Linked DNA regions of Mus musculus: regions 2, 3, 4 and 5 are each reported to be linked to region 1. The links are microRNA targets in miRTarBase. Many come from high-throughput screens and were not tested one by one. Region 1 holds a microRNA gene; each other region holds the end of a gene's coding sequence.

What was found. Region 1 holds the annotated microRNA mmu-miR-344d-3p (GAUAUAACCACUGCCAGACUGA, at 968-989, shown strand). A microRNA usually pairs through its seed, bases 2 to 8, with sites in the 3' UTR of a target mRNA and lowers its output. Matches are read on the target gene's strand: a 7mer-m8 pairs with bases 2 to 8, a 7mer-A1 pairs with bases 2 to 7 and ends in A, and an 8mer does both.
Region 2: the mRNA of Ints6 is a reported target of mmu-miR-344d-3p. The part of its 3' UTR that is shown has no 7-base or 8-base seed match.
Region 3: the mRNA of Rragb is a reported target of mmu-miR-344d-3p. Seed matches in the 3' UTR shown: 7mer-A1 at 907-913.
Region 4: the mRNA of Fbxl20 is a reported target of mmu-miR-344d-3p. The part of its 3' UTR that is shown has no 7-base or 8-base seed match.
Region 5: miRTarBase lists Hoxa11 as a target of mmu-miR-344d-3p. Seed matches in the 3' UTR shown: 7mer-A1 at 1,380-1,386.

The regions. Positions count from the first base shown.
Region 1 is chr7:61,724,032-61,727,244 of GRCm38, reverse strand. Mir344d-3 (microRNA 344d-3) reads left to right here and starts at 917; the gene lies at 917-996. The region is part of intron 6 of A230057D06Rik (RIKEN cDNA A230057D06 gene); the gene reads left to right.
Region 2 is chr14:62,690,913-62,693,912 of GRCm38, forward strand. Ints6 (integrator complex subunit 6) reads right to left here. Exons shown (of 19, transcript NM_008715.2): 18 at 2,620-2,762. The coding sequence ends at 2,669. Serpine3 (serpin peptidase inhibitor, clade E (nexin, plasminogen activator inhibitor type 1), member 3) reads left to right here. Exons shown (of 9, transcript NM_001199945.1): 9 at 1,155-1,331. The coding sequence ends at 1,198. Among named protein-coding and RNA genes, the nearest start is that of Serpine3, 29 kb to the left of the region's middle.
Region 3 is chrX:153,170,948-153,173,947 of GRCm38, forward strand. Rragb (Ras-related GTP binding B) reads left to right here. Exons shown (of 11, transcript NM_001004154.2): 11 at 269-996. The coding sequence ends at 366. Among named protein-coding and RNA genes, the nearest start is that of Rragb, 32 kb to the left of the region's middle.
Region 4 is chr11:98,087,049-98,090,048 of GRCm38, reverse strand. Fbxl20 (F-box and leucine-rich repeat protein 20) reads left to right here. Exons shown (of 15, transcript NM_028149.1): 15 at 351-3,000. The coding sequence ends at 458. Among named protein-coding and RNA genes, the nearest start is that of Stac2, 35 kb to the right of the region's middle.
Region 5 is chr6:52,240,923-52,243,922 of GRCm38, forward strand. Hoxa11 (homeobox A11) reads right to left here. Exons shown (of 2, transcript NM_010450.3): 2 at 1,183-2,670. The coding sequence ends at 2,438. It overlaps LOC115490410 (a long non-coding RNA gene), which reads left to right and starts at 2,313. Exons shown (of 2, transcript XR_003956437.1): 1 at 2,313-2,399; 2 at 2,520-3,000.

The DNA.
Region 1 (3,213 bases):
TTTATATTATATGCAATACAAAAAAGAAATAAACACAATAGTTTTCATGGGGACCTTTTACTAGTGGCTTTCTCGAGACCTATATTTATTTCAGTTATTTCTACTCTGTCTTTAGCATCCAGGTCTCTGTGGTATAACCTTGATATTTACTAAATGTAGTATTTTCATTCAGATATTCCTAACAGTAGTAAACAATTTGCAACTATATGTAAATCAAAAAAATTATGTCTTCTTTATAAGCACAGTTTAAAATTTCCTACATACTATGTATTGTTGGAATTATCCAAAGTATATGAACAGTATTTTCAACTCTAGTTTTCCTCTTAATATTGTGCATATCTATGAGACACTTCACTGTCACTTATAAATTGAGTACTGGTGGAGCAGGATATAGGAAGAATATTGCACTTAGTATTCCAAAACCACTTTGATGATACCCTATTAAATATTGTTGTAATAGGAAAGGCTATAATCAGAGAAAACAACATAATCAATCACTGAGGGAGACATAGGCACATCACAATTATTCAGCAGGCAACAAAAAAGCCCAAAATGAAAGAGAGGTATTCTGGCAAACTCTCTGGATCTAAATAGAAGGAACCAAAAATAGGAAGTGCTCTGCTCAAAGGTTCTACTGACGTTTTTTTTTGTTGGTAATATAGTAAGAAGAATGTAAAAAACAGCTTTTTCTGATATCTTTTTATCAATATTTCTGCTTTCTTAAGGGAAGTCAGGGTGGAAGGGTTGGGGCATGAATCAGCAGCACTGATGAGATCACCATGGTAACAGCAGGATTTGATGTGCATGCCTAGTTATAAAATCTCTTTCCTGATTGGATCTGATGCCATTCTCTATTTGAATACACATTCTCCATCAATCAGAAGCAAGGAGAGCAAATAAATTTGTTTGCAGGGGAAGATTTCATCAGTCAGGCTAGTGGTTATACTCCAGGACTTATCTGGTCCTGGATATAACCACTGCCAGACTGAATGGTGCTAAAGAGAAGGGAGAGTGGAGAGTGCTGTGTCACTGTCAGCAGACAGAGCCAGTGGTAAGCTGGGAAGCCTGTGCTTATTTATTTCAGTCTCCATGCACTGGTTGCTTAACTCCATGTTTCATATCGTAGCTGTCACCCCCCTATGGGAAATTCAGGTATTTGATTTGAAATGTTACTTCCTTGTTTCATGTTGAGCTGTGTCTTCTGAAAATAAAATACAAAATTCAAGCTACAGCTTGTGACAGAGACTAGGTAATATCTCGCATCTTCACATCTTTCATTCAGCTACTGAGAGAAATCCTTTGGCAGTAAATATTCTCAACTAATCACCATGAACACTCAGAAAAATCCAGAGTCATATCATATAGTACCCAGAATCAAAGTACTCTTCGGAGAGTGATTCTTTTAACCTACTGCCATTGTTCGCAAAAGGCATCCATAGGTACAACCATAGTTTAGAGTGTTGTTATTGTTTTAATTCATTAGATTGTCTAGGTGGTCATTTTTCCAAGTCTGGCTTTTGCTACATCACAGTTCACGGGGGGTCAGGAGCCCTTTAAGGGAATCACAAGATCATATTTTGCTGACCTCTATCTTGGTATTACAGCATGTAAAAGAAGAAAATGAAGACAGTTATTTTCATAGTGACCTTGTACTAGTGGATACCTCTAGACCTATATGCTTTTCTGGTCATTTGCATTCTGTCTTTAGTGATCCAGTTTTTGTGGTATAACCTAGATATTTATGAAATTCTCTTACTGTGGTGAAGATATTCCTGACAGTCTTAAATGCCTTATAACTATACATGCATCAGAAAATATCCTGGCACCTTACAACCCCATTAATTGTACCAAATACATCATATAAACATTGTTTTTAGCACTGAATTCCACCACATAGTGTGGAATTATATGAGACACTCCAGCATTTCATACAAACTAAGTATGCTTGGAGAAATCCATGGGCAGAATGTGGCACTATAATTCTAAAAGCTCTCTTATGCTTACAATATTAGATATTACATTTTCTAAGAAATTCTATAATCAGAGTTTACAACAGAAGCAATTAGTGAAGGAGACACAGAAATCCTGGTATTAGTTAGCAAGCAGAAAATTTGCATGGTAAAAGTAACAGTCTTTTTGGTTCAAAAAGAAACAGAACATCTTTGGCAAATGGCTTGGATCTAGGCAATAGAAGCCACAAATAGGAACATCTACAGGATTTCACTGACTTGTATTTCTCTTGGTCATAGTAGATAGAAGTAGTTAAAAATAGTTTTTCTGCCACTCACTTTTGGTTTTTCTACTTCCATAAGGAAACTTAGGGAAGAGGCAGGGGGTAAGAAATGAATCAACAGACTGATAGAGTTCTCCAATATTACAGCAAGTTTTGATGTCCATGCCTAGATATGATATTTCTCTCCTGATTGGGCCTGTTTCCATTCTCAATTTGAATGCACATTCTCAATCTATTAGAAGAAATAGAGCAAATATATTTGTCTGCAAGGGGAGATATGGTCAATTAGGCTGCTGGCTAAGTTCAAGGATTTTTATTTCTTTATATTGGTTTCTTTTCATTATTTACAATTCAAATGTTATTCCTATTCCAGGTCTCACTTTAAGAAATCCCCATTCCTATCTCCTGTCCCCTTGCCTCTATGGGAGTGGGCCCGCAGCACCTACAATCCTGGCACTTCCCTACACTGGGGCATCAAACACCCTCATGCCAAAGGACCACTCCTTGTACTGAGGTCCATCAAGTCCATCCTCTGCCACATATGCAGCCATATCCCTGGGTCCCTCCATGTGTTTTCTTTGGTTGGTGGTCTAGTCTCCTAGAAATTCCTGGGTGTGGGTTGTTGATACTGTAGCTCCCACCATGAAGATGCAAAGGCCTATAGATCCTTCAGTCCCTTCTGTCACTCCTCCATTGATTTAAAACTTTTTTGCTGCTATCCACGTTCAATTTTTTTATATTTCCATAAGGGAACCCAGGGAGGAGGATTTGATGTACGAATCAGCAGCACTGATGGAGATCTCCAAGATTTCAGCAGGATTTGATGTCCAATCCTAGATATGAGATTACTCTCCTGATTGGATCAGATTCATTTATCATTTGAATGCATCAATCAAAAGCAAGGAGAGCAAATAAACTTGTCTTCTGGGAAGAATTTGAACCGTCAAACTGTTCGCTATATTCCAGGACTTAGCTGTCCT
Region 2 (3,000 bases), not on the chromosome of region 1:
TAATAAAAAAACCAGTTCCCTAACTCACCAGTCTCCGTCCTTGTAGCTTTTTAGTTTTCTGGATGATGGTTGTTCACATTACCCAAGGCAAAGTGGATAATTTTCTGATATCACTTAAGGGATTTTTAAATCCCTTAGACCCTTCAGCTGGGGCTAGAAGATGGCCATGGTTAAGAGCATTTGCTTCCCAGCACCCACATGGAAACTCCTAGGAGTCTGCAGCTCCAGTTCCAGGGAATCTCACACTCTCTTCTCTTTGGGCTTCTACAAGCACTAGGCCCGCATGTAGTGCACTTACATACATGTAGACAAAACTCTTAAAATAAAAATAACCTAAAAAAAGTCTCGGCCTTCACTGTTAAAAGCTTACAAGTCTTATACTGATGAATGAATCAACTAACAAATAGGACACATAGGGGAACATTAAGGAAAATTAGAACTCTAACATTAACCCTTTGGAGAGCACTTGTCCAACACAACATCATTCCACGATCTCAAAGAATAAAATACCCATCCCCAAATATATCCTCCCTTGCCTTGGCTAACAAGGATTCTGTAGAAACTTCACTAGCTTGACTAACTTGCCCACCATCTTTGAAAGGCAAAAGCCTGAGGTGGATGGAATCTTAAGCTTTAGTTTTTGATAGGCTGCAAATTTTCAGACTAAGTTTTAGTATTAGAAATGTAAACAGTATTATGCCAGACAGAGAAAGGAACAGAGAGGAGGAGTGGGGAAAGGGAGAAGGGTAGAACACAGACACAGAAGATCCTGTTATTTTACACTCCTTGGGGGTTCATTTTGGAAATTGTAGTAAAGGAAGAAGATCTGAGAATTATTCCACCATGCTTATGACATAAAGACCCTTCCAAGGACAGCCCCCATGTGCTGACTAAATATAATTCCTATCTAAATGACTCCAGTGTTCCCACTGATCTCACTCTTAATACACATAATTCACAACCACAAAGTTAATCTGGATTTTGTATAGTTTGGTATAAATTTAGCAGTGTGATTACAGGCAATTATTTTAATAATTCCATCTCTAAATTATATCTTCATTTACTTCCAGAAATTGTGAAGACGTTAGAAATGTTTAATGAATTGTTTTATGAAAATACCACAAGTCACATGAAATGTTTCTTTTTCTTTACAGGGTTTGTCTTCAGTATCGGAAGAGTTTCAAATCCCCTTGACTAAAATAGCAGACCTCAAGAATGTTTTCTCTATGTATGCTTTCCTTCATAAATATTTACAATTTCTTTTAAGAGTATGTGATTTCCAAATATTATTAATCTAAAAATAATTCAATTAAAAAAATAATTTAAAGGGTATTTTTTTTCACCTTGGTTATTCCAAATCTAAAAACTCTAACCTTTTCTACTGGTTCCCTCCAAACCACTAAAAGGCACGGCAGTGATCTATGAATATGTGCATGAGTCAGGACACATGGTCACATCCTTAGTAAAGATGTGCAGCCCTGTGAGGATGGAGAATGGAGTGCCAGATATCCTCATCCTGTGCAAATAAGGGGGAAAGAAATGAGTACAGCCGTCTAAGTCTGTTTCCTCTCCAGTTAGATTCTGAGAATCAGGGAGCAGAACCAAGAGATCCACTCTGAATTATCATATTATAAACTCACCTAAGCATCGGGGGAGGGAGGGGACCAAATGTCGGCATACTAGCCTTCTCCAAATATGATATACCCTAAAGCTATCACACCTTAACTAACAGCTAGAGTGCCATCTAAATCCTGTAAGAAAGGTTGAAAGGTGTTAAGAAGCCAATAATGCCCCAACTCATCTACTTTTAAAACTGTTTTTAAAAAAAACTGCCCATCTGTCTATCTGCCACAGACCTAGTAAGTATTACCATTATCCAGGCAAGAGTGGAGTATATTGGCATGGCCAACAAAAACTAAGAACATATAATAGTTAAAAAGACAATGCAGGCTATGTAACATATAATTACATTAGTTTAACAAATATTAAGTTGTGTATTTTTTAATGCTAAAAAGCAAGGCCTTTAAAATTCCATTGTTTTAGAATGTTTTTAAGTAGTTACTTTAAATGTGATTATTTCCTAAACCACACAAGAGTAAAATAGAGCATTTATTGATGGAATAACAAAAGTGCTTTTCTTAAATATTCTTCAAAATACATTTGTACAACTTACAATAATATATCCAAAATAACTGTATATACAAAACATTACCTAGTTTTTAATGTATGTGCTTTTTTTCCCCAAAAATTACAAAGTAACTTGTTTTTAATTTTTTTTCTTTTTTTTTCTTTTTTTGGCAAAGTTCAACCTTAACAGAGCTGACAATTTTAAAGGTTGGTTTAAGAAAATATAACCTGAGGGAAACTGACACGCAAGAGCCAATGACAAGCAGAGGATTTGAAGAATAGTTTTAGTTGGTTAAAAAAAAGAAAGAAAGAAAAAGAAAAAAGGGAAGAAAGAAAAAAAATTTGTGATACTTTTCACTTTACAAAAGTAAGCTAAAATGAAAAGGGCACTGTAAAATGATGGAAAGGAACTGTAGAATGTTTTTAGTATCTCAAATAGCCAACAATGCATGTCAAAGAATGAATACAAGATTACAACAGTCTTGTATTTACTTTGTATTTGGAGAAGACAATGAAATAAGTGGCCTCATTCTATTTTCTTTTAATTGCTATTAATATGGTTGATTTGATTGGCTCTTCGATGAATTTCATCCAAGAAGTTCTCCAGTTGTTCTATTAGCATTCGTTTCTTAAACCTGTGTAAGAAAAATAAGAGCATTCTTAATTACCTACTAATGAACAGTATATACTAGCATGTTTCAAAGAGAAAAACTGGCTTTGGGAAAGAGTCGTTTGTTTTAAAGTAAAATGAAAAAGAAAAGAAGGGGGTAGGGGGAGGCTAAAAGAAGAACTGTGGTAGGAGACTGGAGGTGTGGCAACGTCTGATTTGTAAATAAAAAAGATAATTAAAAAAAAACAAAAACCAATACGTAA
Region 3 (3,000 bases), not on the chromosome of region 1:
GTTTTATATTAGGTTAATATTTAAAGGTAACATAAATTATTGAGGTTTATTCTATTAGTCTCAAACCAAAAGATTGTGAAGTTTTATGTTTAGGATATGTACAAATCTGCTTTACAAATATAAATCCTTGATAGCTTGAGGCTTTCTGCTCCTATGCTCTGACACACACTGAAGGATTTGGATCTTTTAATTGATTTGCTTTTACTAGACAGACATACCTTTGACTGCCTTTCTTACTCTGTTGGGTGTCTCCCCACCCTACCCTCAGCTTCTGCAGCTACTCTGATCAACATCCGCAATGCCAGAAAACACTTTGAAAAGCTGGAGAGAGTGGATGGACCAAAACAGTGTCTTCTCATGCGCTAAACATTGCTGAATATTGTTTCACACAAAAATTGAAACACTGTTTCTTAATTTTATTGTTGTATTCATATATGTAGGATTTGAAATATTGTGATGCCCACCACGTCTGTATTTCTTCTCTACTCCCCAGTCTTAACGTTTATCTTTGAATGCTATTTATTCAAATAGCGTGAGGAGTTAGAAGATGAGGTGTCTATGATGTTGATGTAATGTATACGTAGGCGATATATGTAAGTGTTCTGATAACATGACTCTAATGGTGTTTAAGTGTTCTGATAACCTGCTTTTAATAGTTGTGTATGCCAAAGTCTTTCCCAGCACCTCTTGTATTCATTATCAAATATATACATGTAAGTTTGAAGTATTACTGTTTTCTCAGCATGAATTAAAAATATTCTGTAACTCAGCCAGGCAAGGTAGCTCATGCCTGTGATCCCAGCATTTGGGAAACAGAGGCAAGAGGATTGCTGCAAGTTTAAGGCCAGCCTGTCTACATAGGGAGGTCCAGGCCAGGGATGTATATCAAGATCTTGTTTCAAAAAATTATATATATATATATATATATATATATATATATATATATATATATACCTTAACTTCACTTCAATGTAAATAAACTTCTGCTGTTAGGGATTCCAGTGTCTGTGTTTCTTTTTCTTGTATCCTGAGCTTTTCACTAAGGGCAAAAAATTACATTTATACTAAAAAAAAATGGAACTTGCTTCCTAGGAAAAAGTATAAAATAAAGTTCACTAAAGAATGAACAGGGCTGGAGAGATGGCTCAGTGGTTAAGCACCTACTGTTCTTCTAGAGGTCCTGAGTTCAATTCCCAGCAACCACATGGTGGCTCACAACCATCTGTAATGGGATCTGATGCCCTTTTCTGGTGAGTCTAAAGACAGCTACAGTGTACTCATTATCAATTAAATAAATAAATCTTTAAAAGGAAAAAGAAAAAAAATGGAGACAGATTTTAGCCTCAAGTTCCAGGGAAGAGTTTAAGTGTCTGATATCTGTGATATCTGAATTTTACAGTAACAAGGAAAACACAAGAAGCTACTGAGCAGGATGGGTATGTGACTTCAATGTTTAAAAAGTAATTTATCTATACTGTATAAACTGACAGCCGTTGGAGATGCTATATTAGTAATCCAGGCCTGATCTAGATTGAAAGTCTCCAGGGCAAGCTCAGTGGGTCAAAGCCCTCACAGCCAGGCCAGGTGAGCTGAGTTTGATTTCCACAAACTATAGAGTGGAAGGTCAAGACTGTTTCTTGGAGGTTGTCCGTATGTGCCCACATGTATAAACATATACACAGAGACTGAATAAATAAAATGTTGAAAGATTAAAAGTAGTTCTAGGAAGCAACTAGAGAATGAATGAATAAAACCTGGATAGAAAGTAAGATTTACGAGATGAAAAATTTTGACGTCCAACAGTGGTTACTATTTTATTTACATATTCCAAATAGGAATGGACCTTAAAACATTAACTAGAATTGCCATAGCTTCAAACCTTTTCAGTTCCCATTAGCACAAAACAGGACACAAACATGTGTTTAGAGATACACAACACTATAGACTCATCTCATTGCTCCTATACTTCATGGTCTGTCTTCCAGGGCTAGCGAGATGGCTCAGTGGTTAAGAGCACCGACTGCTCTTCCGAAGGCTCTGAGTTCAAATCCCAGCAACCACTTGGTGGCTCACAATCATCTGTAACAAAATCTGATGCCCTCTTCTGGAATGTCTGACAGCTACAATATACTTACATATAATAAATGAATAAATCTTAAAATGTCTTCCAGTGTCAGGTGTTAGGATATATCCCTTTAGATTACGTAGAGAGCTATTGACTCAAAAATAATAAATAGATAGATAGATAGATAAAATAAATAAAATAAATAATCTAAATAAATAGATAGATAAAAGGAAACAACAACTAAAGATAAAGAAATATCTTCCAGGATCAGTCTCACACTGTCTTGGTTTATTATTCCCAATTGAGAAATAAGTACTTTTCATTAAGTTGAAAATACCATGTTTTTAAGTAGCCTATGTTCATATGAACTGAAAAGAACATCATGGGAGTAGTTTTAGAAGCTGTATTCATGCAAAGAAGAAATCTTCTAGGTAGATATTCTAGACTCTAAATAAAAAGACCAATAGAATAGAGAGGTCTGCTTTAGCCTGTTCTCATCTTTAATGTTTACAGTGGGATTTGGAAAGCCTTCTTTAAATACATAGATAAGATAATGAAAGCATGCATATGGCAATGTGGGTAGAAATAAAAAGGAGAAATGTGAAAATGACCCAATGAAGTGATGCTTTCTATACTAATATGTGAGCAAATGGGACAGTGGTTCTCCAATGTCAATATATACCACAATCACTTGGAGATAGCTCATTAAAGAGCATTCTTTGGGCCTAAAATGGTTTAACAGGTAGGAGTACCCATTGCTATTGTACAGGACCCAGGTTTGGATCCAGGACCACATGTACCCATGTGGTGGTTTGCGACCACCTGTAAATTGAGTGCCGGGGGATCCAGCACCCCTGTCTTGACCTCTGCAGACACCAGCCACATGTGATATATATATATATATATACATATATATATATATATATATATATATA
Region 4 (3,000 bases), not on the chromosome of region 1:
TCTAAAGGTAGGATCCCCGCTTTTGGACCCTCTCACATGTCTTAAACCTCATAAGTATTCAGATAAAGACTAGAAACATGTTTTGATTCAATAAGTAAATTGTTTTAAAGTTGCCTAGCTTCTTCCAGCCATGGGATCCTAACTGGGAGTCCCTTTGGGACAAGATGAGAAATTAACTTGTTTTCATTCCCTTCCCCTCTATAGAAGAGAGTAAAGCCCGGCCTTTGTGCATCCTAGGGGAGCTTAGCATCCCTGCTCTCAGCAGTCAGCCCCTTGGTTTCTCTAAGAGGCAGCGTTGTGATCTCGCCCTCTGTAAGCACTCTCTCATAATGTTTTCTGTCTTGTTTCAGACCCATTTACCCAACATTAAAGTCCACGCCTACTTCGCCCCTGTCACTCCGCCCCCATCAGTCGGGGGCAGCAGACAGCGCTTCTGCAGGTGCTGCATCATCCTATGACAGCGGGGTGGCCCACCATGTTGAACTGAGTATTTAATGACACTTCTAGACATACCGTGGAGTCTCTCCGGTGGAAGCGACCCCAGCATTCTGGGCAAGGGTTACAAAGTGAGGGCAGCGTCCAGATCCCCAGAGCCGCACATACACAGGCACAGGCGTCCTCACCCCATCTGCTGTGGTTCTGGGACCATGGCTCTGAAGTTCATGCCGGCTGTAACAAGTGGGTTGGTAAAACCTAAGCATTCCTGTTGGACATGCCCAGAAACAATCGCAGGCCACGGTAGAGGGAGGGGACATTCCAGCAGAGCCCAGTGTTACTGCTTCTGTGGTTTCTTCATTTTATTAAGGGGTTTCTGTGGGGGGTTTGGAACAGTAACTATGATCCTCCAAGGTGAGAGGTAGCATGGAAAACAATATATGATTTATCCAGGGACCAGAAAGAAAACTTCTCCACATCCTAGAAATGGTAGCCATCCATTGGGAGACTCGTGGGCTTCCTTGTTCCCGTGCTGACATGCTGAGCATGTTCACAGAGAAACTCATCCTTTCATCTGGTGTTTGAGTATTTGACCCAGAGGTTTTTTTAGCGGCTGCATTGAAATCACTGGGGTCCAAATAGAATTCCTTTTCTTATCTGCTCAGTTTGTCACTGTATGTCACTGCACCCGGTTCTCTCGCTCACTGCCACCCGCGCTCGCTCGCGCTCTCTCTGTCTCTCTCTCTGTCTCTCTCTCCCTCCCCCTCTCCTTCAGTCTGTCCTCAGGATGCTGCCCACTCGATTGTTACTATGTTGCTATTTGTTGTGTTTACAGTTTGCATTTTGGATGAATTAGTTGGGGTCACCAAACATTTTTAAAAGAAACATCAATAAATATTTTTTTAATCTAACTTTTACCATCAGGGGACCCTGCCTGAATCTTTGCCAGTCTGGAAAGAAATTCTAACAAAAGCAGGAAAGTTATGATAAGAAATAGTCGGACTGTTTGGATGGAAAAAAACTTTCCTTAGGGTTTCTGTTGTATCCTATGCTGTATGCTGGTTTGCACGCTGTGCGCTGTCCCCCACGTGCTGCCCCACCCCACCCCCACATTTCCTTCCTTCTAAACTCACTGAGCTTACAAGAGAAGTGCAGCAGTGTGTAGGGTGGGTGATGAATCCCAAGCTGAGCCTGGATTCCCGGCTACCCAAGCTCCAGCACAAATGACCAGTATCCTGTGCCAGCAGGCGGTGGGTGTGTCCTGTGCCAGCAGGCGGTGGGTGTGGCCTCTGCCTGTCTGAGTTACTTGAGTTACTTGCTTTGCAGCAGTGCTGGGGGGGGGGGGGGGGCTGCTTTTGGTTTCTTGGTCTCCTCCCACAACTAATCCCAGGAGGGATACAAGAAGAGTCCTGTAATAGCTGGCTGCTGTGTTAACGTTAATAGAAGACCTAAGCATCTCCGCTGTCTCTGCAGACTTCCTCAGAAAGGGGACATGAAAGCAGCCAGCTAGGAGCACTGGGGCAGCCAGAGAGCCCAGAGAGGGAGTGGGGGCTCAGAGTCTACCAAGGCTGGAGAGGGAGTGGGGGGCTCAGAGTCTACCAAGGCTGGAGAGGGAGTGGGGGGCTCAGAGTCTACCAAGGCTGGAGAGGGAGTGGGGGGCTCAGAGTCTACCAAGGCTGGAGAGGGAGTGGGGGGCTCAGTCTACCAAGGCTGGAGAGGGAGTGGGGGGCTCAGAGTCTACCAAGGCTGGAGAGGGAGTGGGGGGCTCAGAGTCTACCAAGGCTGGAGAGGGAGTGGGGGGCTCAGAGTCTACCAAGCCTGAGCACCTGACACCAGAGCAGAGGGAACAAGGTTAGTACCTATGGCTCAGTCAAGAAAAAGCCTCTTCAGAGAAACACACAGAGAATGGGAGAAATGAGATGAGTTTTAAGGCATATTTCTAAACCCCGATGGTAGAAGCTTTGTGTGTGTTCATTAGAGTATTGGGAGAGGGGCTTTTGGGACCTGAGTGTGCAAGCCTGTGACCCTGGCATGTTAAAAGGGAGGGCTGTTTCATGCCATAGGTGCAGGTTCTGTCAGAATATATAGGAAGAAAGTCTGATGGATTTCTCATTACTGTAGAAAACAATCAGATGGAAGGCCCTCGAACGCTATACTCCCACATTTATTTATTGTATTAAACTTATTGAAAATCTTATTTTATTATGCTCTTTTGAAAGCTAAATTACTTGTGTTTTTATTCCTTTTCCCCTTTATGTTCAAATTACCTTGAGAGAAATCTCCTTTTTCCTCTGAGACCGTCTTGTTACATTGCTCACCTGACTGGTCTCAGTCACCTGGACTCCAGTTACCCTCCACTTCAGCGGCTGGGACTCGTGGCTAGTACTGCTTCCCCAGACTGGGTACCTCCTACCCCCCCTCCCCCCCACACACACCCCATCGCCCCAGACAAAGGCTTATACTCTGTAGCTCTGGCTGGCCTGGAATCTTGTCTTGGCCTCCTTACTGCTAGGATTATAAAGTTAGGCACACTAGCTCACATACACACTTGCAAATGTAGATACC
Region 5 (3,000 bases), not on the chromosome of region 1:
AACCGAGCTTCCCTGCCCGCCCCCTTTCGCCCCCCAGGAGGGCCCTTGTGCTTCTCAGTGTGTCTGTCGATCAACCAAAGACATTCATCTAGAGGGTCTGTCCCTCTCCCCTTTCAGAAAGCTCGCTTTCTCCACCCCTGTCGCGCCAGCTAGACAAACACACAAACAAATAAACAGGGCAGGCTCTTGGAGCCTAGGGTCTCTTTCCAAATGAGACCCTCTTTGCTGCTTTGGGTCTGCCTGGGTGGCTGAAAGAGGGTGGGGTGGGCAACAAAAGGCTCTGTCCTTTCTGCCCTGCCCCTCAAGGTTATGGGTGATGTCCAAATTTAAGGCAGAAGTTCAAAGGCAGCAAACAAAGACCGAGTCCGTATCTTTCCTTGCCCAAGGGGACCGAGAGGAAGCTGGAGAGGAAGCACTCTTAGAGGTTCCCGAGAGACTCCTAGCTCTGCCTTGGTACCTAGAGCCAGATCTCTCATGCTGAAAGGACTCACAAGGTACACCCAGAGGGTTTTTATTCAGTCCTGAGGTGAGCAAGATTAGCCTGGGTTAGGCCATTGGCTATTGCAGTTACCCACAAGGCCTTCTCCGGAGCTAAGGTCAGTTGGAGAGAGGTCTCACACCATAGGCCCTGACATATCCCATCCCTAATATGCTGCCTTCCACAAGGACGTATAGCCTCAGGCTTCCTATGCTTAGCTTCAATTGCAGCTCAATCCTGATTCCATCACCTCTCGGGGGCGTGGTAACTCACCCCTTTTACTGCTAAAAGGATGCTAGCTGAGGGGAGACATTTGGCAGGAAAAAGCGGAACAGGGAGAGAGAAATGTCACACCAGGACTCGATACTCAAATGTCTACCCTTTTTATTCTTGGTATGCCCCATTGTCTCTCTCTGTGTTAAAATGTATAGGAAATGTATGTTGAGTAAGGGCCGGCCAAAGGCGCTCACTACAGACAGAACCACCAGGGATTTCTTAAGGCAGGGAGGCAGAAGAGATTCATTTGGAGAGCGCCTGGCTCCCCAGAGGACATTCTCAGGTCTTAGTAGTCTGGCTCTCAGTATGCCAGCCCTTTCCAAATGTCACAGTGTTGTAAGAGATTAAAAGACCATCCCCAGACCACTCTCCCCAGCACCCTCAAATAAGTCAGCTAATGGGGATAGGGAAAGGAGTATTGAAACACAGTAGGTTATGGTTTCTTTATTTACAGTCTTTTGAACACCATCCCTGTATGAAGCATACATTCAAATATTTTAGCAGTGAGCGAGTTTAACCTTGGAACACTGTAAACAGATAGAGCCTTTAAATATTTTTATTATCCCCACCCCCCCCTCTACATTGCTTCTTAAAATTCGCTTTGGTTCCTTCGGGGAAATATATATATATAATATAATATTTATCTTTTAAAATAGCTCCAAATCACTCTCCGGCTCTTAGAAGATTGCCAGAAGCTTCCAAGCTCAGTTCTGAGTTGATGAGCACAGAGTGCAGGGTAGGAATGAGGGATTTGGGAGGGGGGGGGGAACTTCAGCCCCTCACAGCCAAAGGCCAAGGACCCACTGGCCAGGCCTGCTGCTCTGCTGCCTGACAGACACCAAATCCAAGTTTCCTTAATGTGGTGAAGAGTTTGCCAAACTGTAGCCCTCCGCAGGCATTTCCTGTAGAGATTGAGGGGCCAGGAACCAGCACAGCCTCTGGAGTTTTCAATGTCTTCTACCCTAGGAATAGTCAGCTCTGAGATGGAAGACCCATCACCACCATTGGGAGGTAGAAAACCCAGGTAGGCTGCAGAAGGTGGCTGCTAGGAGCTCAGGTTTGGGTGCAGATCAGTGGTGGGATGATATTAATGACATCTGGATAGGTTTCTCCTTCCTCCAGGACACCCCCCTCCCACTCTCTCTCCCTTTTCACAGCCACCTTTTGGTTAACTGTCTTTCACATTACTTTTGGAAAGCAACCCCAGCCTGAATCTCTAGGAGTCATCCCCTTTCCTCCTGCTCCTATCCCCAAGCTGAACTAGGCTTGGGGCACACAGTTTCTTGACTTGGGAGACCTGGGGGTGGGCAGGCTCTGTGCAGAGGGTCTTGAGCGGGTGGCCTCCTTAGGGTTTGGCAGGGGGCCCAATCTCCAGTGACCACACCCAGCTCAAAGCTTTTGCAGGCTCTAAGAGTGAACCACCAGGGGTCCCAAACCATTCATTCTGTTGATTCACAACCCTTAGAATTCAATTACTAATAGGAAGCTTAACCACGGAGATCTGAACCAAGAGAGTTTCAGGCCCCCTTCCTATTGGACGAATCTCTGATAAGGAAACCTCTCCTCTCTCCTATATCACCCCCCTTTTCCAAGTCGCAATGTGGCTTGACCTTGTCAAGGGCAAAATCTGCATATTATTTCACATGTATGAAGCCCCCCTCCCAATTCCAGTAGGCTGGAGCCTTAGAGAAGTGGATTAGCTGAGTAGTACTGTAACCGGTCTCTGTTAATCTTTTTTTCCTTCATTCTTCTGTTCTGAAACCAGATTTTGACTTGACGGTCGGTGAGGTTGAGCATGCGGGACAGTTGCAGACGCTTCTCTTTGTTGATGTAGACGCTGAAGAAGAACTCTCGCTCCAGCTCTCGGATCTGGTATTTGGTATAAGGGCAGCGCTTTTTGCGGGTGCGTTGGCCACCTAAGGAAGGAGAGAGGCAAAGAGTGAGAGGGCGATAGGGGTGCAACCCTCTCCCAGGACCCCCATTGGAGAAGGTCTGGCCACAGGGTCTGGAGGCCCAATCCAGGCCCTTTCAAAGTCTTTCCAGGCCCCTGCCTTCAGGCTTCTATTGCTGGTCAGGGACAAGTTGCAGTCTGGAGCCGGCTTCAGATAAAAGCCAGCTCACTAGATAGGCCCCCAGGGAAAGGACTCAGGCTGCCCCTTGAGCTGAAAGGAAGGCTCCTCACAGCAACAGGCGAGTTTGCGCTGGTTGAACTGCTTTGAACGGAGGCAAGTGGGGGTTGCGGGCTG